4 linked regions of the Astyanax mexicanus genome follow. The protein of the gene in region 3 interacts with the protein of the main gene of each other region in a biochemical or structural test. Links are inferred from orthologs where the notes say so. Each region holds a gene or a part of one and is shown on either strand. Other genes may lie near its edges.

The links.
Region 1: the proteins of lrrk1 (region 3) and flt4 form a complex in vitro, tested with the Homo sapiens proteins (2 studies listed by BioGRID and IntAct, with this or other methods). The link is inferred for Astyanax mexicanus from reciprocal best matches to the Homo sapiens genes LRRK1 and FLT4.
Region 2: the proteins of lrrk1 (region 3) and fgfr2 form a complex in vitro, tested with the Homo sapiens proteins (2 studies listed by BioGRID and IntAct, with this or other methods). The link is inferred for Astyanax mexicanus from reciprocal best matches to the Homo sapiens genes LRRK1 and FGFR2.
Region 4: the proteins of lrrk1 (region 3) and foxp1b form a complex in vitro, tested with the Homo sapiens proteins (2 studies listed by BioGRID and IntAct, with this or other methods). The link is inferred for Astyanax mexicanus from reciprocal best matches to the Homo sapiens genes LRRK1 and FOXP1.

The regions. Positions count from the first base shown.
Region 1 is NC_064417.1:66,118-73,556, forward strand, and holds the start of flt4 (vascular endothelial growth factor receptor 3), read left to right. Parts: upstream 1-4,421; 5' UTR 4,422-4,672; coding exon 4,673-4,730; intron 4,731-7,439. UniProt on the Homo sapiens protein: Tyrosine-protein kinase that acts as a cell-surface receptor for VEGFC and VEGFD, and plays an essential role in adult lymphangiogenesis and in the development of the vascular network and the cardiovascular system during embryonic development.
Region 2 is NC_064414.1:11,917,887-11,924,947, forward strand, and holds the start of fgfr2 (fibroblast growth factor receptor 2), read left to right. Parts: upstream 1-4,058; 5' UTR 4,059-4,782; intron 4,783-7,061. UniProt on the Homo sapiens protein: Tyrosine-protein kinase that acts as a cell-surface receptor for fibroblast growth factors and plays an essential role in the regulation of cell proliferation, differentiation, migration and apoptosis, and in the regulation of embryonic development.
Region 3 is NC_064423.1:9,982,320-9,989,324, reverse strand, and holds the start of lrrk1 (leucine-rich repeat serine/threonine-protein kinase 1), read left to right. Parts: upstream 1-3,994; 5' UTR 3,995-4,144; intron 4,145-7,005.
Region 4 is NC_064412.1:2,033,466-2,040,870, forward strand, and holds the start of foxp1b (forkhead box protein P1-B), read left to right. Parts: upstream 1-4,383; 5' UTR 4,384-4,477; intron 4,478-7,405. UniProt on the Homo sapiens protein: Transcriptional repressor. Can act with CTBP1 to synergistically repress transcription but CTPBP1 is not essential. Plays an important role in the specification and differentiation of lung epithelium.

The sequences.
Region 1 (7,439 bases), on a different chromosome or scaffold from region 3:
CCACTGAATTCCCCATCATTATTTTTATTTAAACATAACTAATTAAACAACTGGTACAAAACTATACATTGAATAAAACTCATAAAGCAAAATTTAGCAGCAGCAGCTAAATAATAATTAGCATTTTTGTGCTGTTCTGTTTTTCTTCTGTTCTGTTTAGAAAGTGCTGATGATCAGCTGACAATGTGCAAAGTTGTCAGTCTTATTGAGCACAGTGTGAAATGGGAGGATCACAAATTTAACACACACCTGATTCATTCAGGTAACTTCCTGTGATGTATTTTTATTGTTGGATTTCTAATAATGTTTATATAATATTTATAGTTTGGACACTGAGTGTATGAAATAATTTTTCACTCATACTTTTAATATTTAATAAAATATATGAACTGTACTTTTACTGTTATAACATTACAGTTAATGGACAAACTGATGCAGTGTGAAAATCTTTCTTTAGGCTTAGGTGTGTTTTAGCAGAAGGTGTCGGGAGTCGGACTCTGGCTGTGAGATTTATTTCTTTATTTCTATTGATCAGAAATTAATGGCATCCATATTTTCTGCAGTCGTTGGTAATGATTAGTGTCTAGTCTAATCCATTTTCACCATTATTACCTTTCAGATCACACACCCTGAACTACTGAAAGGGGTAAACATGGTTACAGGCATCATCAGTTTGTTTTTTGCTGTAAATCTCTTTTATCTAAGAGTAAAAAAAAAACTTACAGATATTTCTTTTATCTCTTTTTTCTTTCCCTCTCCTTCATTCCCAACTCAAAAGAAGACCCTGCTCAGGTTAATTGGAGGAGTCTTTAAGGTTTCCTCCAAATGGGAAATAAACTTTTTTTCTGTTCATAGAAAGTAAATATGTTGTCGTCTGCAATCTGTGAAAATGACTATATCTAATAATTGCCAATTAGGAGAGCTAGACATGCATCACTTTCAGATGGGCAGCGTTGAACAGTTTGAACAGTAGATATGTCTGAAAAACAGAATATGTTGATCTAAAATTTTTATATACTTTTCTGCATTAATGCTGTCCCCACATAAATGTACTGTGACACAACCTCATACTATAACAGATTGTAGCTTTTTGGACTTGCTGTTGATACATCTGAATGTTCCTTCTTGTCTTTAGTCTGAAACACGCAATATCCACTTCTTCCAATAAAAAATACTGATTAAACTGAACACAATAAATATTTCTATTCTTTGATGGTCAGTCTCAGGATCCTCCAAGCCTAAAGATGTTGACGACATTTCTTGGCTTGGTTTAGGTAAAGCTTGTGTTTTGGACAGTGAAGTTTAGGTGGTGTTTGTAAATGTAACTCTGGATAAATGTTTGCCAAAAGGAATTGCTTGCTTTGTTGTATCGGCTGTTGACTGGGGGTTCTTGATGCAGAGCCATCTGAGGAATCTGAGACAGAAATATGACAAACAATGAACAAACAATGAATAACAAACAGCAACCTAACCTACAAGTGTACTTAGACTTTGCATTAACACCTACGCTATTCACACACACACAGACGCACACATGGACATAAACTTGCAACTTCAATGCAGCATGTGTTGATCTATTGCAGAAGCAATAAATACAATTGAAGAAGAAATCCATTTCACCTTCTCACTAAACAAACAACTTCACTAGAGTTCACTAGAGACCTAACTGTGTTCACCTGGTCTTGGTTTAGTTGTGTGTTATTACTGTATTCACACCTACCAAAATGAATCAAATTTGTCATTTTGTAACTTACGTAAAATTATATATTTTTATGTGGCAGCAGGGAGGCCGGACTATAAAACATTTTTACAGATTTTTTTACATTGTACTTTGAAGCCTATGTCTTTTCTTATTGTTCTGTAAAATCAGTGTCCAGTTTGAGTTTCCATGTACTTTTCATTTTACCAAGAAAATGTAGCTCTAAAGCCCGAGCTAAATCTTGAAAGTAAGAGATTTCTCATTGAAGTTGAGAGTTAAATGGTCCTCTCATTGCTGATTAGACGGAAGATAGGTATAATCTGTAAAATGAAAGATTGGATGTCTGTGATCATCTGCCTCCTAATGATGGTATCGATAGCTCAGAACGTCAGACACCTATAATAAAAATAATAGTTCTTTTGGTGACCCCACTGCCTACAATTGCAATTCTTATTTGAACATGAAAACAGGAGATCACTGGGTGTGTAGGTTTTTTTTTTGTGTGGGGGCAATAAATAGCCAAGGCGTGTTATAAGGTATAAGTCAAGAGAACCTGAATGAATGCATTTAAAAATGTCCATTTAGGGGACGAAATCCTGTCTTTTAACAAGGCCCTGAAAATAAGTAAATCTGCCCAGCATATTCTGAACACTGCTTTTCAAAACAAATCATGGGCTGACTACAAGTAGTTAATTTGTGTATTCTCAGTACGTATTCCCAGTACTTGTATTCCATTACAATCCAACCCAGCAGATGGCGAAGTGTCAAATTTTTTTTCTGGGCCAGCTGTTGGTAAATGCAATTCAAGACATACAGCCAAAACTCGAGAGGTATAATGGTTGGGACCTGATGACAGTTGGGGCCAATAACAGGAATCATCTTTTTTCTGTATGACATTTGTAAGTAGAGCAGTATTTCAAGCTGAATTAAACTGTGGTTTTGTCAGCACAGCTGCTGTACATGGTCTGGGAGTTTAGTATCATGGTTGTTTTCCCAAGAGTATTTGGCTTTTCAGAGCAATATGGGATTAATATTTAGAAGTAGGCCTTTTTTAAAAGTATGTCTTGATGGAATGGAATAGTTTCCAAGAATCTGAGAAAAAACAGGAGCAGGGAAATGGAAAGAAAAGAAAGCTCTTGATTTGAAGGTTCCTTAACAAATACCCTTCTGGCAATGCTAATTGTGTCTGTCAAAGAGTCTCAGATGTATTAGATTAAGTGGCAATATTGCATTACATTTTATGACCTAAGTGTTTATAACACAGCTTTGTATAGGAGACTTTTGGAGTTCTGCTGCAGGGCAATTGTCTATTAGGCAAATGTAGCAACCATTATCTGTACAAATAGGATTTTCTTTATATATTTGTCCTTTATGGAGGTGCCAGGATACGTTCTTATTTCTGAAATGGAGGCATTTCAGATCTGTTAGAACAACATATGCAGAATAAACCACAAGACACTGATTAAGGCATGTAGCTTTAGGGGAGATAGAAATCTTAGATTTAAGAGTTTCTCACTGTGGCTAAGCAATCACTGGTCTTGAAAACAAGCTTTTTTGGTAAATGTGGGTTAAAAAGAAATACATTGATATGCATTGCTGGTTTGTTGTGGCCGTGTTTGCGGACGGTGTGTTAGTGATGTTCAAATATGAAAATATACTCCCATCTAAATTATCTAAACTGGTTAGTTTTTGCCCATGGTGGTTTGTACAAAAATATTTATCACAAAATATGAGACTATTGCGATTTAAAAATATGACTTCTACACCTCAAATGCACTGAATATCTGTAGTATTCTATGATTAAGATACATGTAGCCCTAAGTTTAGCATGGCTAATGGGATACACTGTTAAGATATAGTGTCAAGTCATTCAAGCTATAATAGAAACTTAACACATTAATTATAGTACAACAAAACGATACAAAAATATTCCTAACTTTATATGAAAAAAATATAACAAGATTTTCTGTAATACAATTCAATATTAATCCAAAACTATCCGATTCTTTGTATTGATGCATCCAATGTGCTAATATTAGGCTCATATAAAGGTTCAGTATTTAATATTTTGATATACTCTTTATCAAATTTTCAGTCCATTGGGAACATTTCAGCACTGAAATTAAAGACAGGTGTAGCTGACAATTTTTGGAGGAAAGGCTGATCTGATGGTCAGTAAAACAATCCACAAAATCGGTTTCTGACTAATCAGTCAGTCTGACTAATCAATCAAGTAAATTTGAATTGAGTTTATCAGAGAGAGTTTATCTGAGGTATTTTATTTGAGGTAGTTTATCTGAGGGAGTTTATCTGAGGCAGTTTATCTGAGGGAGTTTATCTGAGAGAGTTTATCTGAGAGAGTTTATCTGAGAGAGTTTATCTGAGGGGGGTTTTCTGAGGTAGTTTATCTGAGGGAGTTTATCAGAGAGAGTTTATCTAAGGGAGTTTATCTGAGGGAGTTTATCTGAGAGAGTTTATCTGAGGGAGTTTATCAGAGAGAGTTTATCTAAGGGAGTTTATCTGAGGGAGTTTATCTGAGGGAGTTTATCTGAGAGAGTTTATCTAAGAGAGTTTATCTGAGGAAGTTTATCTGGTGTATTTTATTTGAGGTAGTTTATCTGAGGGAGTTTATCTGATGTATTTTATTTGAGGTAGTTAATCTGAGGGAGTTTATCTGAGGGAAGTTGGTCTGAGGAGGAGACTTCTACCCTGAAGGTCCGAGTCTGAGCCGCTGCCCTCAGATCGGTTTATGCAGGAGGTGGGAGTTGAGTCCGGGAGGGAGGAAAGGGGGGAAATGATAGTAAATCCACTCAGGTCCTCTTGAATTTCGTGTTTCTGCGTGTTTTTACTCCGCTGTTTCTCCCGCTCTTCCCGCGCCGAGGAGAGAGAGGCGCGCGACACCTGAACCTGAGGAGTTTCCCGCGCCGCGCGGAGAAAACCCGCGAGTTTAAATTGAGGAGATTAAATCCGGAGATGAAGAGAGAGAGCCGGGTTTTCTGTGGGATTTGGATCGGGCTCGCCTCTTTCTCAGGTGAGAAACTTTACCTAGATAACTCTCAACACAGGCTGCAGATAACCGCTGTGTGTATGTGTGTGTGTGTGTGGTCAGTATGTTTTTTTCGCGTTTTTACTGAATTTTCTCATTAATGTTGCTTTTTTCAAGAAATAGTGAGCTTCTGTGTAAAATTCAGTAATTCAGAAATGTAGACTCTGGTCTATTTTACAGTTTTAGAGTTTAACTACAGAGATGTTTAAAAGTGGGAACCCTTTAAATATTTGCCACTTCTAAAAGTGCTGAAAGAAAACAAAGATAATAAACATTCAAAAATAAGGCAGAAATATTAGATAGAAATATTAAACTTTTAGTCAGATTATTTCTTAGGGTTGTTGTCTTGCTGCATGACCCACATTCTTAGCTCAGGTGTTCTGACTTTTTCCTTCAGAACTGGCTTTAGTCCAAATCCACTGTTACATAAATGATAAGAGGCCATCCTTGCCCAAAGACCCAATCCATAACACTACCACCACTGTGTTTCACAGATGGATAAGTTTTCTTTTTTTAAATTTTGGGATGCAGCAATTTTATATGGATGAAAATTCTCCTTTAGTTGCTTGGAAGGTACAATGGGTTAATTTATAGACAATTCATAACATTTTGTCTGATTTGTTTGATTTGGATCTTTTTACCTCATTTTAGGACTTGTTTTAAGAAAATCTGTAGAAGTTGTAGGTTAAATTATGCAAAAATATAAAACACTCAAAAAGGTCGGGCACCACTATATTCTGAATGAATCAGTAGTCAATAAGAGTATATTTCACTTAGATTTGAGTCGATTGAATCCTATTAAATTAATATTTATAAGGTGAAATTGATAAACCATTTTTTACATTAACTTGTCACTCAGAGATAAAAGTTGTCATGGACTGCAGCTTAATGCCACACAAAAAACTGATTTGGGCAGCAGTCCATCATTATTAACTAGTGCAGCATCTCAGTAGCAGTAGACAGTTTGTTGTTATTGGACACTGGTGCACTGGCCACAGTTTATGAGATGTCATTGCTAATATTAAAGGTAATTTGAGATTGAATGCAGCTCATATGCTTCCCTCCTAAGCTTAGCAAGCTGCCATACTTAACAACCAAAATCTTTGCTTGCATACTTGCGGGCATATATATTGGGAACCTAGCCATCTATGTGATGGTCCAGAGAAGAGGATGAATGAATATTTGGATCCACAGAGCATCTTCTCTGTCTATGTTTATCTTTAAATTAATCTAACAATTATGGTAACAAGCCACAAAAGCCTTTAGATGATTAAGGATAATGGAGTAGATTTCATCAGATTGTGCAGCTTTAAAGGTGAAGTAGATTGGTTAGAGCATGGCATGTTAAGCACTGTCAGGAAGGCCTACCTGAAAGTCTGCAAGTCAAGCATCCATGTCAGATCCACTTGTCAATTTGACAAGTTTTGGCAGCAGCAGTCACACTTTAATTTAAAATGCTCTTTTCAACAGAACAGCACTTGGTCTGCTAAAGTCATCAGTTACCGACAACAGGAAAACAGCCCTAATACAGCCTTTATTCACTTTTCACCTCATTAGTGACTTTATTGTTCTTTCAAGAAATTATAATTGGCTTCTGTTACATAAGGGATCACTCTGTTCAAGCTGACTTTGGGTTATATGTCAGTTCTGTTCATTATGATAATCATGCATGAGTGTTTTTAATTGCAGTATTTTCATCTGCATGATAGCCCACCTCTGTGAGGAATATGATGTCTGCCAGTCATAATATCTAGAGGACCATTTAAGATGACAAAAGCCACAGAATCTGAGGAATCAAAACATGGGAATATTCTTATAGCAAACTCAAGCATTCTGAAGGATGTGGTGCTCTAGTGTTTGGTATGGAAGGTTCATCTCAATTAATTTTGAGTAAAAATTAAGCTAAGAAAGCAGCCGTCATCACAGGTGTCAGTTAGTGAGATCCATGAGGCATCTGAGGAGAACTTGAAGTGTTGCTGAGGCGTTTTCCAGAATCCCTGCACCTTGGGTGGAGTCTTATGTGAAAATATGTCCTCCCTTAACATTTGGAATCCAGAGCCATAAAAACCCCAGATATATGTCTCTCCCTTAAACTCCATAATCTTCATCTCCACAAATAAATAACACATGGAATCTTGGTGGCGCAGGGAATTTGCCTAGGCTACCAAGATTTTCTTGTAGTGAAGACTGGGTCCAATTATTAGAAGTGGTCCCCAATTATTTAACCGAGCACTAACCTTAACTGAGGCAAAAATGGGAAAATTGCAGCTTGGAGGGACAAAAGAGATGATTGTTATTTAATCAGAAACAAAAGCCTGTTCAACAGAAAAGAGCCTAGGGCTGCAGAAGAAGTTGTCCACATTTATTGATTTCAAGTAAGCCTGAGTTGTCCTTTAATGCAATTTCCTCAAATGGGCAACATTTAGCCCCTGAGCTGGCTGATATTACATTTCTACCATTTTAGTTTTGTTTGGTTTCTAAAATCATCCTCAAAATCAAACAGCGCAGGGAACTGCTGCAATAAACATGGTAATCGAAAAAAAAAACATGTAAAAACACTCACAGCAATGAATCTCCTACATGAAAGTTGGAGTAGATATTTATCTTAAGTCTCAGAAGGAAAATCCTCCACTTGTCCCTTTCGTCGAACGGCTCACTCACTGCAATGTGTTTTATGTTACCATACTGGTGATT
Region 2 (7,061 bases), on a different chromosome or scaffold from region 3:
GCTCTCCTCTCTTTTCACTCCCCACACCCTCCAACTCCCGTCCAAGCTGTCACCTTTTCTACTGAGTCTCTGATGGCTTTACTGGGCCGGGAAGGGGGAGAAAATGGAGGGGGGAGAAAAAGAAAATGAATGAAAGAGAGAGAGAGGGAGAGAGCGAGTGAGAACGGAGATGGACGGCTCCATTGACACAGCAGCCTCTCACTTTCTTTAACAGCCTTATTAGCCGTCCCTTACCAAGTGAAAGAGGACGTTTCTTTTCTGCAGGCTGAAAAAAGAAAAAGCAGGCAGGCTTTCTTAAAGGGGGAGAAGAAAAAGAAGAAGAAGAAGAAGAGAAAATAAGAGGTGAAAGCATATTAGCCACTGCTCCCTCCTCTCCCAAACCCACTACGTTTTTTTAGTAAAAAATTTTTTTGGAGGGGAAAGGGTGAGGGGTTTGTGGTGGGAGGGGGGTGGTCCTTGAAAAGGCCCTGTCCAATGGAAGAGACAGCTTGGAAAGAGAGAGAGCGAGAAAGAGAGAGAGAGAGAGAGAGAGAGAGAGAGAGAGAGAGAGAGAGAGAGAGAGAGCGCAGTAGGGGGGCCCCCTCTGTCTCTGACGTTTAGAGATCATTAATCAATCTGCCCCCACCTCAGCGTTAAAGCTTGGAGATAAGACCCCATGAAGAAACCCACAAGGCGCTGCACGTAGAGACTGTATGCTCTATGGAACATAAAATAAACTCATTCCAATCTTGGAGCAGATTTGGGCAAATGCATTGTATCCCCTTTTTTTGGCATTTTTCACTTAAGAACAAATAAAAATGATCCAAACTGAGTTTTACTCATATAGTACTATATACAGTACCAGTCTAAAATTTGGATAAATCTTATCATTCAATGTTTTACTTTTTACTTTTAATGTAGAAACTTAAAAGTATTAAACAAACCAAAATACTTTAGGTGCTCTTATCTGGGATGATGTTAAGTTACAGTTTCTGAGACTGATAACTCTGATGAACTTATCCTGTGCAACAGAAGTAACTCTTGCTTTTCCATTACAGGAGTGGTTCTGATGAGAGCCAGTTTCATCATAACGTTTTTGATGGTCTTTGTGACTGCACTTAATGATACTTTTACAGTAGTTAAGAAGTTCTTGCCATAATATGGATTAGAACGTTACTCAAATAGAGCTATTCACTGTATACCAACTCTACCTCTTTACAACTTCACAACTGATATACAGTATATTAGTCAATGGTTTCTCAGTCTTTCTTGGTTTCTCAATCTATTCCACTGACAGTAAAAACTATTTTTTTTTGCTTTTCTAAAGAACATTCTTTCTTCATTTGCAAGGTTCCCGCAACTCTGGTTAAAATTAAACAACACAATTTTAAGCGTGATTTCAACCCCAATTTCCAGTAGTGGTGAGTCTGTGCTAGTAGTCTCTAGTTTGTAGACTCTGGTATAGTGGGAGCTGACAGTTGGACTGTAAGTTGTGTAGTGTATGCCGGGCTGAGACTTTTAGTGCTGATTTTTAGTGTCAAAATCACATCGGACTTCAGTCTGACCAAAATCAAACATTTAATTTTCCAACCCGATTTTGGGAAAATGGCAAAAACAAAAAGCTTACAATAATTTAAAAGTTGCCATGAAGAAAGATGTTAAATTTACCCAGGTTTAATCTCTGCACACGTCAGCTACAAGTAACAAGAGAGATAATAGTAGACAGTACTATTGGTTCAGTTTGGGTCTGTTTTGCTGCTTTTTAAAAGAGTTTAAATGACCGACATTATGCATTAAGCAAACTGTGCATTTATTATATAGCTATAGTTTGATCACAAATGATCTCTCTATATATTTTTACTTACTTGGCCATTTTTTCACTTTGAACATTATAAAGTGCCATTACCAGCTCCCTGCAACCGATGCCTTCCCCTGAGGTTCAGAACCCCTGTGTTCCAGCCAGTCTTGTTTCAGCATGGCTGTCATGATTATTCTCAGTGACAGGCCCGTTGCAACAAGGCAAGCAAACAAATCTATTGCCTAGGGCCCCGAGCTGGCCTGGGGCCCCCAGATAACAACTGGTTGTGAATTAAATGCAAGGCAAACTATGTGAGCACCCCTTTAAATTCTGTGATGGTCAATGCAGGAAAGTAAAACAACACTGTTATTAGAATCCCCCTCAATGGAGCCCCTCCCACTAATTGCTGACAGTAGCCAGTCAGCCGTGCTTGTGATTCTTGCAGCTAGCAAAATATGAAACTTCAGTGATTATGAAGTGGAGTTATCCATCAAAAAAAGAGAAAGAGAAAACAAGCCATGTGATAAGAAAATAAGTGTTAAGTGATATTTAACACTGGATCAATGAGGCCCACACATACAAATGTTGTAAGGTAGATTAGCAACACAATATATGGATGATGTTTATGTTACCTACCAGCCTGGCAGTCAATGCTAGTAATGAACTAGAACAGCCAGTGCAACAAGTTAGTTGAAAGGGCTGATAATATGGTTACATACTGTAATGTTATATTAACAGGATAATGAAAATCTGTTTTAGATTCACTGTTTATAGTATAACATGACATTGCAATAAACATTACAATAGTTAAAGGAAAACTCCAGTGTAAAATTGACTTTTGGTGTAGTAAAACATGATAAAGCTCTTTGAAAGTTATTAATGCCTTGTTTTAAATGTCAGGGCTCTCCAGATTCTACCAATGAGGTGTGAAGCTACTATGAGCCTGGATAATGGTGTTAAAAGTGATTTATCTGCAGGGACAAAATATGCCCCATATCATTTATTCTAAAGCATGTTTGGACAAAGGAAATAAAATTACATGATCTCTGAAAGCTGCAAAAGAATAGAGGTGGCCTATTCAACAAAGGTTAGTACTCCTTATCACATTTTACTACACCAAAAGTCAATTTTACACCAGAGTTCTCCTTTAACTTTTTTAACATTTTAATCGTGATTACCTATCTACCAAATTTTGAGTTGTAATAACCTATGATAATTCTGTGCATCATATAACCAGACTGGAATAAGTTTAGTAGTATCCATACATGTCAGCTGTTCAATGCCTTCAAATTCTTAAACAGCAGAATGCTTAAACCTGTTCTAAAAGTAACATTAGAATGGGGTGTTTTTAAGTTGTATTTCTGCTAAGTGTAAACATCTGAAACTAATATTAACAGTTAATGTTCACATTTTTTTAAATATATTGGCTTTTACAGTTATTTTGCCCTTTTTTATACACTGCCTGGCCAAAAAAAAGTCACCACCCGGATTTAATTAAATGATGTGAGGTTGCTGCAGTTGGTCAGGTCTAGGTTCAGCAACAGTAGGTGCTGAAAGAATGAGGTCAGCTGACTACCTGAATATACTGAATATAGTCCCGGTTATTCCATCAATGGATTTTTAATTTCCTGATGGAACGGACATATTCCAAGATGCCATTTCCAGGATTCATGGTGCTGGAATTGTGAAAGAGTGATTCAGGGAGCATGAGATCATCATTTTCCCACATGGATTGAGAGAAAGTTCACCACAGAGTCCAGATCTTAACCTCACTGAGAATATTTGGGATGTGCTGGATGGAGAAGAGATGCTTTGTGCAGAGGTCAGACTCTACCATCCTCAATGCTGCTGCAAGATCTTGGTAAAAAATTAAAGCAACACTGGATTAAAATAAATCTTGTGACAGCTTGTGGAAAGCTTATTGGAACAATGCCACTCCAAATGCGTGCAGACTTTTAATTTGGTCAGGCAGTCTGTTAGTTGTTATGGGATAGAGGTGGGTTTACATGGTGGGGACCTGTTTTGCTTGGGGCCCCAAAATACTTTGAAACGGCGCAACTCAGTGAGCGAGCGGGGCTGCAGGTCCGAGCGCGCGCGGATGAGGGAGTCGCAGCAAAAATCAATGCGCGCGGTGTGCTCAGGCTGGCCAACAGGCGGCGTGCTTCTCGGGGAAAATAGTGCGTGTGGTGTGCTGCTGGTGCTGCTGCTCTGGGGGAGGGGTAGGTTCTCTCCCACTGGTGAAAAGTTCGAGTTTTTTTGCAGCAGCAGCAACAGGAGGAGGAGGAGGAGGTCTTCAGTGAGAGCAGAGCTGAGGGGTTTAGAGCAGAGCAGACCCGGGCAGAGCACCGCGGAGGAACCTCAGCTCAGCTCAGTGTCTGGACTCGCTCAGGACTGACTGGCGGAGGAGCGAGAAAAAACTGCAGTGAGGAAACGGATCGGGTTTCAGGGGGGAGTGACATTTCTTGAGGGGCTGGAGAGAAAGAGGGAGAGAGAGAAGGAGTGAGGGAGCTGCAAGAAGAAGGAGAAAAAGAAGAAGAGCCTGTAGCCTAAACCTGAGTGAGAAAAGCGTCTGAGAAAAGCAGCAGGAGACTGTCCGCGGACCGTGTCTAGCAGGATGTATACCCGGGCGAGGCGCTCCGTCTCCGGCTGCTAAAACTCCGCTTTACCCCCAGCCTTGGAGAACCGTGGGGGCTGTTGTTTTTTTTAGGAGGTGGAGGAAGACGAGAACGACTCTGCGGAGACGGACTTAACGGAGAAAGACAGAAAGTTCTGGGTGTTTATCGGTGTTTTACTGGAGTTTTACAGTGGATTTACTGGTTCGCTGCTGCTGGATACGGATCCGGGCTGGCAGTGATTTTGGAATAGTGAAGACTGGGCGATTCAGCGGAGTTTTTCTTATTTTTTTGAGGGGTTTGGAGCGGAGTTTGGATATATATCATCAGTCTGCCCATATGCCCCCGCCTGCCTGCGCTGTTTGTGCGGATCGGGATCCTCAAAACTTAGCGGTGAGTTTTCGGGCCGCAGAGTTATCGAGCAGCGCGCGGAGCGCAAACAGCGGCGGAGCCTGAGCGCCCGCGCGCCCGCATGTTTTTAGCGCAAGACGTGATTGAAACGTGGCTTGATGTGGACAACACGTCCCGGGCGCTCTGCCTGCCTGCTGTTTTAGTTAAGCCCAGCTACCCTAAACGTTTAATAAACGTTGATCGAATAAACGTTACAGTTTATATCTTTTAGTGTTAATGGAAATAAAATCAACATTTATCAACGTTTATTTAGCGAAAGGCTTTGAATAGTGCTATTAAGATAAACAAACGTTAAACAACCTGTTGACCCTAAATTATTGTTTAACATAATATGCCTGTTATGCATTTGTGTTCTCACTTTGACATCGAATCAACATTCATTTAGCGAAAAGCTTTCAATAGACGTTTTTTTTAGTTTTATTGCATTGTTTTTATTTTTAGTAATGTTTATAATGGAAATACAAACAGGTATTAAGTTATATAGTTAAAATCCTTTATTTTAACATTGAATCAACGTTTAATAGGCGAAAGGCTTTGAATGCTTGGGGAACTTTTACACTCACAACCCTGAAACAAAATGTGGGTTGTATTAAATCTACTTTAAGTGTTGACAATAAAAAGAAAAGCAAACTTTATCAAACATCAAATCAACGTTTATTTAGCGAACGGCTTTGAATAGTGAAATAAACTTTAAACAACCTCACTTTCGACATCGAATCAATGTTCATTTAACTTAAAAAGCTTAAAACAAAAAGCATTGAATACACTTTGATTTTTATGTGGGTTGTATTACGTGTTTTGATGTTTATGATAAAAAAGCAAAACAACCATTGTTTAACATTGAATCAATGTTTGTTTAGCTGAAGACTTAGGATAGTTGGGACACTTTTGCTCTCACACAACCCTGATAGCAAAAAAAAAAAATTGGGCTGCATGACATCTTATTTTAATATTGATGATACAAAGAAAAGCAACTTTTAGCTAAACAACCTTTATTTCACATCAAATCAACGTTTGTTTAGCTAAAGGCTTTGAATGGTCAGGACTACACTCACAGTGCTTACATGCGGCTAAAGGTGCACCTCACAAGTCATATCTATAATAATATTTATTATAATAGTAGGTTCATCATTATTATTATTATTTAAATGGCCCTCTCTGCACTGCAAGAGCAAAGAGTGTTAAAGTTGAATAAAAACAATGTTAAATCGATGTTGAATCAGAAAACGTTGTTTTTAGTGCATTAGAGGTTAACAAATAATAAAAGTTGATTCAAAAAGGGCGTTGTGTAGTTTGTGTTGGAATGTTTAGTAGCAATAATCTATAATCTTTTTCATTATGTTAAAAAGCAACTCTATTAAATTAAACAGAATTGAATGAATTTAGGTCAGAAAATAACAGTATAACCCAGTAAAACTTTGGTCAGACACAAGATTAAACATTATATTAGTGGGTGGAGACATTCATTCATCTCATTTAAACAGATTGCCCATTTACCGACACCTAAATGCATTGTTTGCATAAAAACAGGATCGTAAATCTGTGATTGTGAATGCACTGGCACTGAGTGATTGTAATGTGAAAGGGATGATGGTGATGAGCTTTAACGTCTTTAGATTATTTTCTTATAATTAAAAGCAGGAGAAAACTAGTCAATAGTTAGCTAGTGATTTAACGGCTTTGTTTTTTACGCAAATAAATTAAAAAGTACCTAAACTGTACATAAAAAAAAAAAAAGCAATGAGGGGTGTAGGGGTGGGTGATATGGCTCTAAAAAATAATCACAATACTTCAAAGCATTTTTGCAACAACAAATTTCAAGATTATACTACCTCAACACAAGAAATAATAAAGTTGTTAAAGTACATGCAGTAGAAATAAAAAAGTCTATACATTTTTATCTAATTGTAAACTTAGCAAGACACTTCTAATTTTGTATTAAATGATACCTAATAAAAATAAAGAAATCTACTACAAAGAAAGCCAATATAGTGCATGCATACAAACTGCAAACAAAAAATTTAAAGTAAATAGAATAAACTGCTTTCAAAATATCGCTATTATTTTTTTATCTTGTCAAAAATGGTTGTGATGTTATTGCATGTGATAAGATACAGTGAAATAAACTCACTGCATTTGCTAACTAATGTTGCCATGCAAAGAAATGCTAAATTTACGCAGATTTAATCTCTGCACACGTCAGCAACAGGTAATGAGAGAGATGATAATTAGCTATTAGTAGATATTAGTAGATAAAGAGC
Region 3 (7,005 bases):
TCAAAAGTCGAGGGCCTAAAAATACAAGTCGGGGGCGCAAAAATACCAGGTGAAAAAAAATAACCAACGTTTTTTAACATTTTGCGTGTGTAAATTAACTTCTCGTGAGCACAAATGTGAAACTAGCAAAAAAAAGGGAACCGTGTGCGCGCTGAAGAAAATATTGCTCTCAAGCTTAATTTTTCTCTTCTCGGGTGCTTTTTTTTTCCTTGCGCAATGTGTGAATTACCTGCAGCAGCTCCTGAACTAAATCACTGAACAGCTAAAGCTCACTTTTTCTTATTATCTGCCTTTTAAATCTCTAACACAGAGGCTACACTGCTCAACATCACCATACTGAAAGTGTTTCACCTGTTTAAATGCTTTAATGTTCCTCTCTAAAGAATAATAATCCAAAATGCGATCCGGGCGGAGTTCGCTGGTGTAGTGCAGAATCGAGTCTTCTGCCACTCCCTGCAGCTGTGCTGTGACCTTAGTTAAGCATTAGCTTAAAGTTAGCATTTTTCTAATTACTACCCTTAAACGATCTCGAAATTTAGAGGATCCAGTGATGTTCAGGAGGTAAATGTAAAACATAATAAAATGTACAGGGTTCTGAACATATTTATTTACCACAGAATGTGGTAGAGGCAAGTTTTTACAAAAAAAAAGGATTGGACTTCAGTGGTCTATGAGCTGATTGGTTGAATCAGGTGTGTTTGTAAGAGGTAAAGCAATAAAATGATTAGGGCAGGGTGTGTCTGAACCAGGATTGAAAAACACTGATTTAGCTGGTCTATCAATACGATCAACCTGATTAAACCCCACAAACAAGTATGACCAAGCTTAAACATGCTAGTTAACCAACATGACCCTCCTCCCCACACTGGTAAACCAGCATGTGAAGCAAAGCCACGTTGGTCGTCCAAAATGACCAAGAAACTCAATGGTTAACCAACATAAGGCAGAGTTTTTTTTCAGGTCATTTTTTATTTTATTAGATTTCCTTCTTTAACACACGGACCTTAATAACGAGCTTTTAATTACCTGATCAGTTGGATCTAGTGTGTTGGGAACAGGTAAATCTCTAAAATTGGACCTCCCGGACCAAGAAATACAGGCAGAGGAGGACTCTCATGTCTTTTCTACAAGTTCACACTCCACACATGGCCTTATGCGCTACAGCGAGCTTGAATTAGTGAACAATCGACAAATCAGAAAACAGGATTTTTTGTTACCTGGTAAGATCAGAAACAGGTTTCGGCTGCAGGCACACAGGGACGAGCTGGAGATGGAAAAGAACCTCCAGGATCATCAATTAATATCCTATCATTGTTTTCATTTGTTTTATTTAGGCTCAACCACCGACGACAGATACCAACCCACTCATTAGCTAACGATTTATTAGCTAATAGATATAGGAATAAAAAGACTTAAAATGAATAAAAAATAAGATAGAATAAAAATATTTAAAACATTCTACTGCAGATTTAAAAAAAAATCTAACCACTGTATAATGTGTTGAGGTCTTTTTTATATAAAATAAATACACACTATAAATAAATAATTAAATAATAAAATATAAAATAAATATTTTATATTTTTTATCAGCACTGGACACTTTAAAATAGTCACTTTTGCTATTTTACAAAATTTATTTATTCATTAATTTATTATTAAAGTATGTACGTCTAAACATTAGATGAATTTAGGACTAGTGTTTTAGGACTTTTTAAATGAATAAATGCATATTTATTATTCTTTCATCTGCACTGGGCATTTTTTAAATAGTCATATTTGCTATTTTATTAACTAAATAAACCTATTAATATTTATTTATTCATTTTAAAAAGTCTAAACACCACATTAATATGTTTACACATTTACATACTTTTTAAATAAATGAATACATTAATAAATATTTATTTATTTAATTTTAATATTTAATTTAAATTGTGGACACTTAAAATAATCATGTTTACTATTTTTACTAACTAATATACTACATTAATTTATTTATTATAAAAAGTCTAAAAAAATTTTTAAAGACCTAAATGTAGTGTTTACATCTATTAAACATGGTGTGTGTTGGAGCACTTGCTCTCTGTAAATAGCTCCGTGATTCTGCTCGCTGCTTTTCCAGGTCATAAAGCTCTAAACTGAGCGCAGTCTGAGAGCTGAAGCAGTATAATATGAGTGTGAGTGTGAAGTGAGCTAGTAAAGAGGTGGATTGAATTGCTGAGATTTTAAAAAGAATTAAAAAATAAAATAGAATAAAATATAAAAAAAATGTTCGCTGCAGTTTTTTAAAAATATAACCACAATGTAAATGTGTTTAAGTCTCTTGAAAAATAGTTACAGTAATATATTCTAAAAATAAATAAATCCTTTTTTTTTTATCTGCACTGGACACTTAAAATATACACTTTTTAGACGCTATTTTACTAAATAAATATGCGTATTAATATTTATTTATTTGTTTAAATGTGTTTAGGTCTTTAAAAAAGTAAATATATATATATATATATATATATATATATATATATATATATATATATATATATAATAGATACATATATATATATATATATATATAATAGATACTTTAGCTATTTTACTAAATAAATGTATGTATTAATATATTTTATTTGTTTAAAAATGTTTAGGTCTTTAAAAACGTAAATATATATATTTTAAAAAAATTTAAATAGATAATTTAGCTATTTTACTAAATAAATATACGATAAATATAACATATTTTATTTGTTTAAATATGTTTAGGTCTTTAAAAAAGTATATATATATATATATATATATATATATATATATATATATATATATATATTTTTTTTTTTTTTTATAGAAACTTTTGCTATTTTACTAAATAAATATACGTATTCATATTTTTTATTTGTTTAAATGTGTTTAGATCTTTAAAAAAATATTTTTTAAATATTTTTCAAATAGACACTTTTGCTATTTTATTAATTAATGATTTTATTTATTTTTTAAAGTCTAAACAGTACATAAATGTGTTTTTTTAAGGATTTTTTAATGACTAAATAAATATTTAATATTTTTTCAGGAGGAGTGAGGAGTATGATGGGAGAAGAATCCGTGTATCATTCGTTCATTTGATATTCAATTGAGAATCAAAATCGGAAAATTAAAAAACCAATTCGTTTTTTCGTTTTTTCGTTTTTGAATATAATACCAAAAAACGAATAACGGCTTGTATTTTGTATTCTTATTTGGTTATCCAAACAAAAATTGGAAATTTAAAAAACGGACCAGGAGCCGAATTTGATTTTGATTTTGAACTTGACCCATTTGTGTGCCCTGGAAGTTACTGATTTGTTTATTCTTGGTGGGTTTCTGTTGCGCGGGAGTTCACTGCAGTGTTATCTACACAGTCTGTATTGCTGTAGGCAGCATGGCCGGACTGGAACCACATTCTGGCCTAATTAAAGATCTTTTTGAAGGTATTAACTAAATATGACATTTAGCTACGGAACGTTAGACAAACACCTGAAAGATCCTGCCGATTTTTTCTGTTGTCATATCGTCTTCTTTCACTGCAACGCGTTTAGTTCCTCTGAACAAGATAAAACTCTCCATCCTCAACTCCATCCAAAGCCTACAGCAATACAGACTGTGTAGATAACACTGCAGTGAACTCCCGCGCAACAGAAACCCACCAAGAATAAACAAATCAGTAACTTCCGGGGCACACAAATGGGTCAAGTTCAAAATCAAAATCAAATTCGGCTCCTGGTCCGTTTTTTAAATTTCCAATTTTTGTTTGGATAACCAAATAAAAATACAAAATACAAGCCGTTATTCGTTTTTTGGTATTATATTCAAAAACGAAAAAACGAAAAAACGAATTGGTTTTTTAATTTTCCGATTTTGATTCTCAATTGAATATCAAATGAACGAATGATACACGGATTGAGAAGGGTGGATTATATGGCTGAGATCTGAGTGTAATCCCTCCCTCTGTCTGAGCTCTGCGCTCCTGCTGAACTGCACCAGGAAGTCCTTCAGGCGGCTGGAGGATCAGAGAGCAGCACGCTGGATGTCTCAGACTGGAGCTCAGCGCTTATACACGCTGTTTACTTTCTCCACACCAGCTCAGACTGCGCTTTATGGAGCCGGAATATCGGTGAGTAGCTCTGCTGCTGCTGGACTTTATTAAAGCTGGGAGTTATTTACAGCGTGGCTGAAGCTGACTGAGTGTAATACACGACTTTAAAGCAGGGTTTACGACTAACTACGACTGCTGGACAGAGTGTACTGCTCTATCCAGTTGCTGTATCTTATTGTTTGTCTTGTTTCACTATTTTGTACGGAGCCCGGGAGGGGCCGTGGATAAAAAAAATAATAAAATCGAGTGAACGATGTAGCAGTTCGTGCTCACGTTTTCTTTAATTCGAGTGAACGATTTGCAATTCGTGCTCACGATTTCTTTAATTCGTGCTCACGATTTCTGTAATTCGTGCGCACGATTTCTGTAATTCGAGTGAACGATTTCTGTAATTCGTGCTCACGTTTTTATGCGCAATAAGACAAGAAGCTCGGAGGGAAAGGAGCATTTTCTCTCTTGATCTGTTACAGGGGTGCAGTAATGATAATCAGTTATCTACCTTTATAACCTGCTGTTATTAATGCACTAGTGTTACAGTTAGATGTACAGTACAGTGAGCAGATTTTGCCTGGTGGTGGAATCTCTACAGCGCGTGGGGGAGAGCCGTCCGCGGCATCGGTTCCCCCGCCGCCAGACACCTGCCCTGCGCGCAGGTCTTCACGGAGCTTATTTACCAACAATGTAGACAAATACAGTCAATTCCAGTCATGAATAAAGGAAACAAACATTTTACTGATGCAGGACAACTGTGTGTTATTAAAACCAGATCAAAACAAAGTTATAATGCAATGTGCAAATGTGTTTATTAATTTCTAAATAACATTCAGCCAGCCTCCAAGGAAATGCACACCTTCTTAAATCTGGTTACATCATTATTACTTTTATGATAGATTTAATCTATATTTTAATAATTTGTATAATAAATAAACACATAATTCAGAAAATATACATTTAAGAAGTTTATAATTATTATATTTTTTTTATTTGAAGCTTGTGGCATGTTTCTGGGCAGGACACTGTGATTTGAGAATAAGCAGATATTCAGGACATTTCATCAGATATAGAAACTTAATTATTTTAGGAAACATATTGGAATAAATTATCAAATTGATCCAAATTATTATATGAAATGCCTATTTACTAAATATCTTAATACATTGTATTAATAGTATTTTAGACCAGCTATTTTGATTTTATATAGTGTTACATATTTAAAGCAGCTCTTATATGAGCCATTCATAGACAACTGTCACACCTTGCATTAATTTTGTATTATCTTTATTAACTTTTACAGTGTACATTTGGACCTAAGTCTTATAGCTGTATATTTATATAATTATACTTCTTTACGTTATACTATTGTTGAAAATAAGAAATTATAAACAGTTCCACATTGCATTATAACTTTGTTTTGATCTGGTTTTAATAACACACAGTTATCCTGCATTAGTAATGTTTGTTTCCTTTAATCATGACTGGAATTGACTGTATTTGTCTACATTGTTGGTAAATAAGCTCCGTGAAGACCTGCGCGCGCGGCAGGTGTCTGGCGGCGGGGGAACCGATGCCGCGGACGGCTCTCCCCCACGCGCTGTAGAGATTCCACCACCAGGCAAAATCTGCTCACTGTACTGTACATCTAACTGTAACACTAGTGCATTAATAACAGCAGGTTATAAAGGTAGATAACTGATTATCATTACTGCACCCCTGTAACAGATCAAGAGAGAAAATGCTCCTTTCCCTCCGAGCTTCTTGTCTTATTGCGCATAAAAACGTGAGCACGAATTACAGAAATCGTTCACTCGAATTACAGAAATCGTGCGCACGAATTACAGAAATCGTGAGCACGAATTAAAGAAATCGTGAGCACGAATTGCAAATCGTTCACTCTAATTAAAGAAAACGTGAGCACGAACTGCTACATCGTTCACTCGATTTAATTGTTTTTTTTATCCACGGCCCCTCCCGGGCTCCGTAATTTTGCTGTTGTTTGTGTCTTTTTTCACACCTTTAGATATACACACACTTCACACCTAGCTCTATAGCTATTAAAGCAGAGATTGGTGGCTGCAGTATTTGAAGTACACCAGCCACAACCACACTGGGTTACAGTGAAGCTGTACTGTACTGTAGTACTAGCTAAACCAGTAGGACTGAAAGTGGCCTACGAAAACAACTGGAGGGTAAAAAAAAAAACCCAAAACAAATACTGTTTTTCCACCAAGCTTAATGTTGAACAAACAATTAATGCAGCTACATAGAACGTCCAGCATATACAGTTGTATGAAAAGGTTTGGGCACCCCTGATAATTTTTATGATTTTCCTTTATAAATCATTGGTTGTTCGAATCAGCAATTGCAGTTAAATATATCATATAGCGGGTGAACACAGTGATATTTAAGAAATGAAATGAAGTTTATAGGATTTACAGAAAGTGTGCAACAATCTTGGGCACCCCAACAGAAAAAAATACATCAATATTTAGTAGATTCTCCTTATGCAGAAAATGCAGCCTCTAAACTCTTCCTATAGCTTTTTTCAGTGAGAGTCTGGCTTCTGGTTGAAGGTATTTTGGATTATTCTTCTTTACAAAACATCTCCAGTTCAGTCAGGTTTGATCGTTTCTGATCATAAACAGCCCTCTTAAAAAATAAATCACACCACAGATTTTAATAATATTCAGGTCTGGGGACTGAGATGATTATTCCAGAACGTTGTACTTGTTCCTCTGCATGAATGCTTTAGTCGATTTTAAGCAGTGTTTAGTGTTTAGGGTCGTTGTCTTGTTGAAGTATCCAGCCCCGGCCCAACTTCAACTTTCTCACTGATGCCTGAACATTGAATGTCCTTGAAAAGCTACTTTATTTCAGTTAAA
Region 4 (7,405 bases), on a different chromosome or scaffold from region 3:
ACAGCTCTGGGAAAAAAATAAGAGAGCACTTAAAAATTATGAGTTTCTTTGATTTTACCAAATTGAAAAGCTCTGGAATATAATCGAGAGGAAGATGGATGATCACAAACCATCAAACCACCAAACTGAACTGCGTAAAGTTATCCAAAAGCAGTGTGTAAGACTGGTGGAGGAGAGCATGATGCCAAGATCAAGCATGAAAACTCTTAAAACTTTATGAATATATTGTTTTCTTTGCATTATTTGAGGTCTGAAAGCTCTGCGTGTTTTTTTTTTTAATTTTTTTTTTATTTCAGTCATTTCTCATTTTCTGTAAATAAATGCTCTAAATGAGAATATTTTTATTTGTAATTTGGGAGAAATATTGTCTGTAGTTTATAGAATAAAACAACAATGTTCATTTTACTCAAACATAAACCTATAAATAGAAAAATCAGAGAAACTGATTCAGAAACTGAAGTGATCTCTGAATTTCTGAGCTCCTGTTTTATTATTATTCAGTGGTACCAGTTGGTGGCACTATCTACCTGTGAAAGAGCCTCAAACCTGCAATTCTGCAGCGGAAGGAACAGGACTGCAGTCATGCTGGCTTACAGTACAGTATATACATACCATCAGCATTATATACCATTAGCTTTATATACCATCAACATCATTCACTAGTGGATTTTTAGACCTTGAGCAAGGACATCTTTGTTACACTGGGTTTCTTTCACATAAAAATATTGTATCTCCATTTTCGTCATTTCTAATCTTCAAATTTCAAACTGATATAATATAATCTATATATATATATATATATATATATATATATATATATATATATATATATATATACATCTCTGGAAAAAAAGTAAGAGACCACTTCATTTTCTGTATCAGTTTCTCTGATTTTGCTATTTATAGGTTTATGTTTGAGTAAAATGAACATTGTTGTTTTATTCTATAAACTACAGACAACATTTCTCCCAAATTACAAATAAAAATATTCTCATTTAGAGCATTTATTTACAGAAAATGAGAAATGACTGAAATAACAAAAAAGATGCAGAGCTTTCAGACCTCAAATAATGCAAAGAAAACAAGTTCATATTCATAAAGTTTTAAGAGTTCAGAAATAATCAATATTTGGTGGAATAATCCTGGTTGGTTTTTAATCACAGTTTTTTTAATGCATCTTGGCATCATGTTCTCCTCCACCAGTCTTACACACTGCTTTTGGATAACCATCCATCTTCCTCTTGATTATATTCCAGAGGTTTTCAATTTGGTAAAACCTTATATTTGTTTTCTTTACACTATTTCAACAATCATTCAGTGTTTTTCTTTATTTCTTTATTTAATGTATTTTCTACATTGTAGATTAATATTAAAGACATTAAAAACGATTAAGGGACTTATATGAAATTATGTAGTAAACAGTAAAAAAAGTTTTATTTCTCCACATTAATCTCCTGATCTAAAGCTGATGAACTGAGATGGTGATTTGAGGTGATTTAATTGGGAGGAGCTGGAGCTTCACAGTGTGAAGGAAAAGCAGCAACTATTGTTCAGCACCTCCAGGAACTCCTTCCTTCAAGACGCTCAGAAAAATATTCCAGGTGACTCTCCCTCAGGAAGACACTGAGATTAAAATCTCACCAAGAGTCTGCAGATCTGTCCTTAAAGATAAATATGATACTTGTTTAGAAGAATCTAAAGTATAATTTTAACATATTCTGGTTTATTATTAAAAATGTTTCTGTGGAGCTTTAATATAGACTTCAATATTAAATTTACAATGTGAAAAATCATAAAAAGAAAGAAAACACATTGAATGAGAAGAGGTGTGTCCAAACTTTTAACTGGTACTGTACATGTAAATATAAAGAGTCTATAGACTGTTACCTCACAGTTTAAGGGTTTTGGAATCAACTCATTTTACAGTTCTGCACTAAACTTCTTTATTTAACTCTACCCAAATGAATATAGATAAATACAATCATTTAACTCTGATTAAACCGTGTCTGTTAAAGATTCTACTGTAAATTGAAAAGTGTTTTTACATTCAATAAGCTTTCATCATATGTTAGATTAACCATTTTTAGGGTTTATTTTATTGTATTTTAGTGCATTAGTGCAGTTTTTTTAGCTCTTTGTTGTAAAAAAAAGCCTTACAAACACAAACTTATTGTTTGGACAATTAATTTAAATCATATGTGAAAAGTGAAAGCTCTTGAAAATGATTTGAGATCTTCTTTCTCTCTCTGTCTCTCTCTCTCTCTCTGTCTCTCTCTCATTGTTTTGAGCAAATATCTCATTATTATGAGATGATTTCTCATTATTTTGAGACAATATCTCACTTTTTTTCACACTCTCTAATTAATTTGAGATGCTATCTCATTGATTTCTCTATTCTAAGATAGTAAGTCATTATTGTGAGACAATATCTCACTATTTTGAGACACTCCTTTTAAGATGCTTTCTCATTGATTTCAGATAAAAAGTCATTATTTTGAGACAATATCTTACTATTTGTACTATAGCATCCCATTATTTTGAGACGCTATCTTATTATTTTGAGATAATATCTTATTATTTTGAGATGATGTCTCATTATTTTGAGATACTAATTGGCTGTTTTAAGATGTAATTTGCTGATATAGTATCTAAAATAATGATTTAGTATCTCAAAACAATAAGATAGCAATGTTTTTAAATAAAGATTAATATGAGGCGATGCTGAAGAAGGTGAGGAAGGAGGAGGCGATGCTGGAGAAAGCGATGCTGAAGGAGGCGATGGTGGAGGAGGCGAGGATGGAGGAGGTGAGGGTGGAGGATGCGATGAGGGAGGAGGTGATGCAGGAGGGGTGAGGGTGGAGGAAACAATGCTGTAGGAGGTGATGCAGGAGGGGTGAGGGTGGAGGAGGTGAGGGTGGAGGAGGTGATGCAGGAGGGGTGAGGGTGGAGGAGGTGAGGGTGGAGGGGTGAGGGTGGAGGAAGCGATGCTGTAGGAGGTGATGCAGGAGGGGTGAGGGTGGAGGATGCGATGAGGGAGGAGGTGATGCAGGAGGGGTGAGGGTGGAGGAGGTGATGCTGTAGGAGGCGATGCAGGATGGGTGAGGGTGGAGGAGGCGATACTGGAGGGGTGAGGATGGAGGAGGCGATGCAGGAGGGGTGAGGGTGGAGGAAGCAATGCTGTAGGAGGTGATGCAGGATGGGTGAGGGTGGAGGAGGCGATACTGGAGGGGTGAGGGTGGAGGAAACGATGCTGTAGGAGGTGATGCAGGAGGGGTGAGGGTGGAGGAGGTGATGCTGTAGGGGTGAAGGGTGTGGGTGGAGGAGGCGATGCTAGAGGAGGTGATGCAGGAGGAGGCGATGCTGGAGGGGTGAGGGTGGATGGGTGAGGGTGGAGGAGGTGATGCTGTAGGAGGCGATGCAGGATGGGTGTGGGTGGAGGAGGCGATGCTAGAGGAGGTGATGCAGGAGGAGGCGATGCTGGAGGGGTGAGGGTGGAGGAGGCGATGCTGGAGGGGTGAGGGTGGAGGGGTGAGGGTGGAGGAGGCGATGCTGGAGGGGTGAGGGTGGTATATATTTTCTCATTGTTAAGTAAATTGCTATCTCATTATTTTGAAATACAAAGTCTGCAAAAATCATTGTCAAAGAATCACTTAGTATCTCAAAATTATGATCTCATTATTTTGAGAATCTAAGATATTATTTTGAAATAACAGGTCAATCATTTATAATGCTGTCTCAATTCTTTTTAGATAATAATGGACTGTTTGAAGATGTATTTTGCTAATATAGTATCTCAAAATTATGAGAGATCGCATTAAGTCATTCATTTATGATGCTATCTCATCATTTTGAGACACTAGCTCATAATTTTGACATTTTGAGATAACTCAATATTTTCAGATGCTATCTCATTATGTTGAGAAGCTATCTCATTTTTTATATTTAGTATCTCAGAACAATGGTTTAGTACATGAAAGTGGAAGTAATTCATGTTTATTAAATGTCACATTATTTTAATATTTTGAGATAATATCTCAGAATTTATGTTTGTATCTCAGAGAAATGGTTTAGTAGATGTTATCAGATGTAATGAAGGTTTATTAGATGTTATCAGGAGCTGCTAATGTTTATACAGCAGGTGGATGTGACGTCAGTCAGACTTCGCAGCAGCAGCAGAATGGAGAAATAACTAAATATAAATCCGCTGCTTTATTTCTCTCTATCACTCTCTATCTCTCTGTTTTATCTCAGGGCGCTGAGAGAGAGAGAGGGGAGCGGTAAATCCGCCGGTTCGGTACCGCGGGGAGACCCGGAGTTCCGCAGACCCCGGTTAGTTAGTCCCTCCGCGCGGAGTGATACCGCCGCGCACTTTACAGCGTGCTCCGCCAGCGCACGCGCTCCTGCTGCAGAAGAAGTGCCGATAGTTGATATTATTACTACTACTAACTCCTGCGTCTCCTCCGCGCGCGCTGCTGCGGTAAGTTCAAACAGATACATTGTTTCTACTTTCTTTTATCTCTCTTTTTATGTGTAACGCGCGCGCGGCTCCGCTGTCCCGTCGCTCCGCGAGCGCCCCGCTGCTGTACCTGCGCTCGCGCGCTGTTTCTAAGGTGAGGAGGAAACTAGACAAGTAAACAAACAAACAAACAAACACACAAACACGCGTGCGCGCGCCAGGACGCGAGTTCCTTCTTTTAGCGCAGGAACGAGATAACTGTCCGCTTTAAACAGATAAAACTGCACGAGTTCAGTCCCGCGAGACTCTGACTGATTCTGCCGTCTGATCCACAAGTTACCCGCTCAGATCAAAGTAGCGAACCGCTGCTAAACAAAGTTACAGAGACACATTGTAACCATGCATGAAGCACAACACACACTCTCAGTGCACGCTCTACTAGTTACTGTGCAGGTAAATCAACCCCACGCGCACTGCTGGCAGCAGCCGTTTGCACGTGCAACTAGTAACTTGTAACATGTAACATCTAGCTTGTGTGTAACGCTGTTCTTGTGTTTGTAAAGTTTGCTGAGTTTGTGAAGGAGATGTAAACTGTGTGGCACCTATGAGTGGTGGCTTTGGCTACATATGTGTAACGTGTAACACTGCCCTTAAGTGTGTGAAGTTTGTAAAGGAGGTGTAACACTGCCCTTAAGTTTGTAAGTTTAAGTTGGTAAAGGATGTGTAGCATATGTGTTGTAGCTTTGGCTACATACATGTAAAGTTTGTAAAGGAGGTGTAAACTGTTACAGATAACACTGCCCTTAAGTTCGTAAAGTTTGTTGAGTTTGTAAAGCAGGTGTAGACTGTGTGTTGTGGCTTTGGCTACATATGTGTAAAGTGTAACACTACCCTTAATTTTGTAATAAATGTGTAGACTGTTACATGTAACACTGCCCTTAAGTTTGAAAAGTTTGTTGCGTTTGGAAAGCAGGTGTAGACTATGTGTAACGTGCAACACTGCCCTTAAGTTTGTAAGTTTAAGTTTGTTAAGAAGGTGTAGCCTGTGTGTGGTGGCTTTGGCTACATATGTGTAACGTGTAACACTGCCCTTAAGTGTGTAAAGTTTGTAGAGGAGGTGTAACACTTCCCTTAAGTTTGTAAGTTTAAGTTTGTAAAGGACGTGTAGCATATGTGTTGTTGCTATGGCTAAATATGTGTATAAGAAGGTGTAGCCTGTGTGTGGTGGCTTTGGCTACATATGTGTAAAGTGTAACACTACCCTTAAGTTTGTCAAGTGTGTTAAGTTTGTAAAGGAGGTGTAGCTTGTTACATGTAACACTGCCCTTAAGTTTAAATTGGTAAAGGAGGTGTAGCCTGTGTGTTGTGGCTTTGGCTACATGTGTGTAAAGTGTAATGTAACACTACCCTTAAGTTTGTAAAGAAGGTGTAGACTGTTATATGTAACACTGCCCTTAAGTTTGTAAATTTGTTGAGTTTGTAAAGTAGGTGTAGTCTATGTGTAACGTGTAACACTGCCCTTAAGTTTGTGAAGTGTGTTAAGTTTGTAAAGGAGGTGTAGATTGTTACATGTAACACTGCCCTTAAGTTTAAGGTGGTAAAAGAGGTGTAGCCTGTGTGTAACAAATAATACTGCACATAAGTTTGTAAAATTTGTTGAGTTTGTAAAGGAGTTGTAGCCCATGTGTGGTACTTACAAGTGGTGGCTTTAGCTACATATGTGTAAAGTGTAACACTGCCTTAAGTTTTTGAAGTTTGTAAAGGTGTAGACTGTGTAACGGGTAACTCTGCCTTTAAGTTTGCATGTGCAATGTGTAACATGTAACACTGCCCATAACTTTGTAAAGTTTGGAAAGGAAGTGGAGCCTGTTGTGTTACATGTAACACTTCACTTAAGTTTGTAAAGTTTGTTGAGTTTGTAAAGGAGGGGTGTGTGGTGTCTGACTACATGTGTGTAAAGTGTAGCACCGCACTTACTTTTATTTTGTAAAGGAGACGTAGCCTGTGTGTTATGTGTAACGCTGCCCTTGAGTTGGCACGTGTAACATGTAACACTGCCCATAAGTTTGTAAAGTTTGGAAAGGTGTAGACTATGTTATGTGGAACACTGTTCTTAGGTTTGCAAGGTTTGTTGAGTTTGTAAAGAAGGTGTAGCCTATGTGTTGTATGGAGGTGTAGTCTGTGTTTTACGTATATTACTGCCTTTATGTTTAAAGGAGGTGTAGCCTGTGTGTAACCTGTAACCATTAATTTTGTAAGTTTGTAAAGGAGATGTAACCTCTGTGTTGCATGTAACAATGTCTTAAGTTTGTAAAGTTTAAGTTTGTTGAGTTTGTGAAAACTTGTAAACATTTGTAAAGTTTGTAAAGGAGGTGAAGCCTATGTGTTGTGTTTAACACTGTCCTTAAGTTTGTAAAGTTTGTAAAGGAAGTGGAGCCTATGTGTTGTGTTTAACACTGCCCTTAAGTTTGTAAAGTTTAAGTTGGTAAAGGAGGTGTATTACTTAAGATACTTAAGTAAGTGGTGGCTTTGAGTACATATGTGTTATATGCAATGCTTCCTTTAAGTTTTTAAGGTTGTAAAGCAGTTGTAGCCTGTGTGTTACCTGTAACACTGCCTTTGTAAAGGAGGTGTTTTATTTTGTTACACTTATGCTTTTATGAAACAGACCGATGTTTATTTTTTTTTGTTTTAACTGAATGTATAAAACCCTTGTAGTTATAGTAAAACATTATTATTATTATTATTATTATTATTATTATTATTATTATTATTATTATTATTATTTGTATTACTACTACTACTACTACTACTACTACTACTACTACTACTACTACTACTAATAATAATAATACTAATAATAAAAGTAAAATAATAATAAAGTAATTTATCGTTGCAATATTGTTATCGCAAAAACATCCTGAAACATTGTGATATATATTTTAGGGC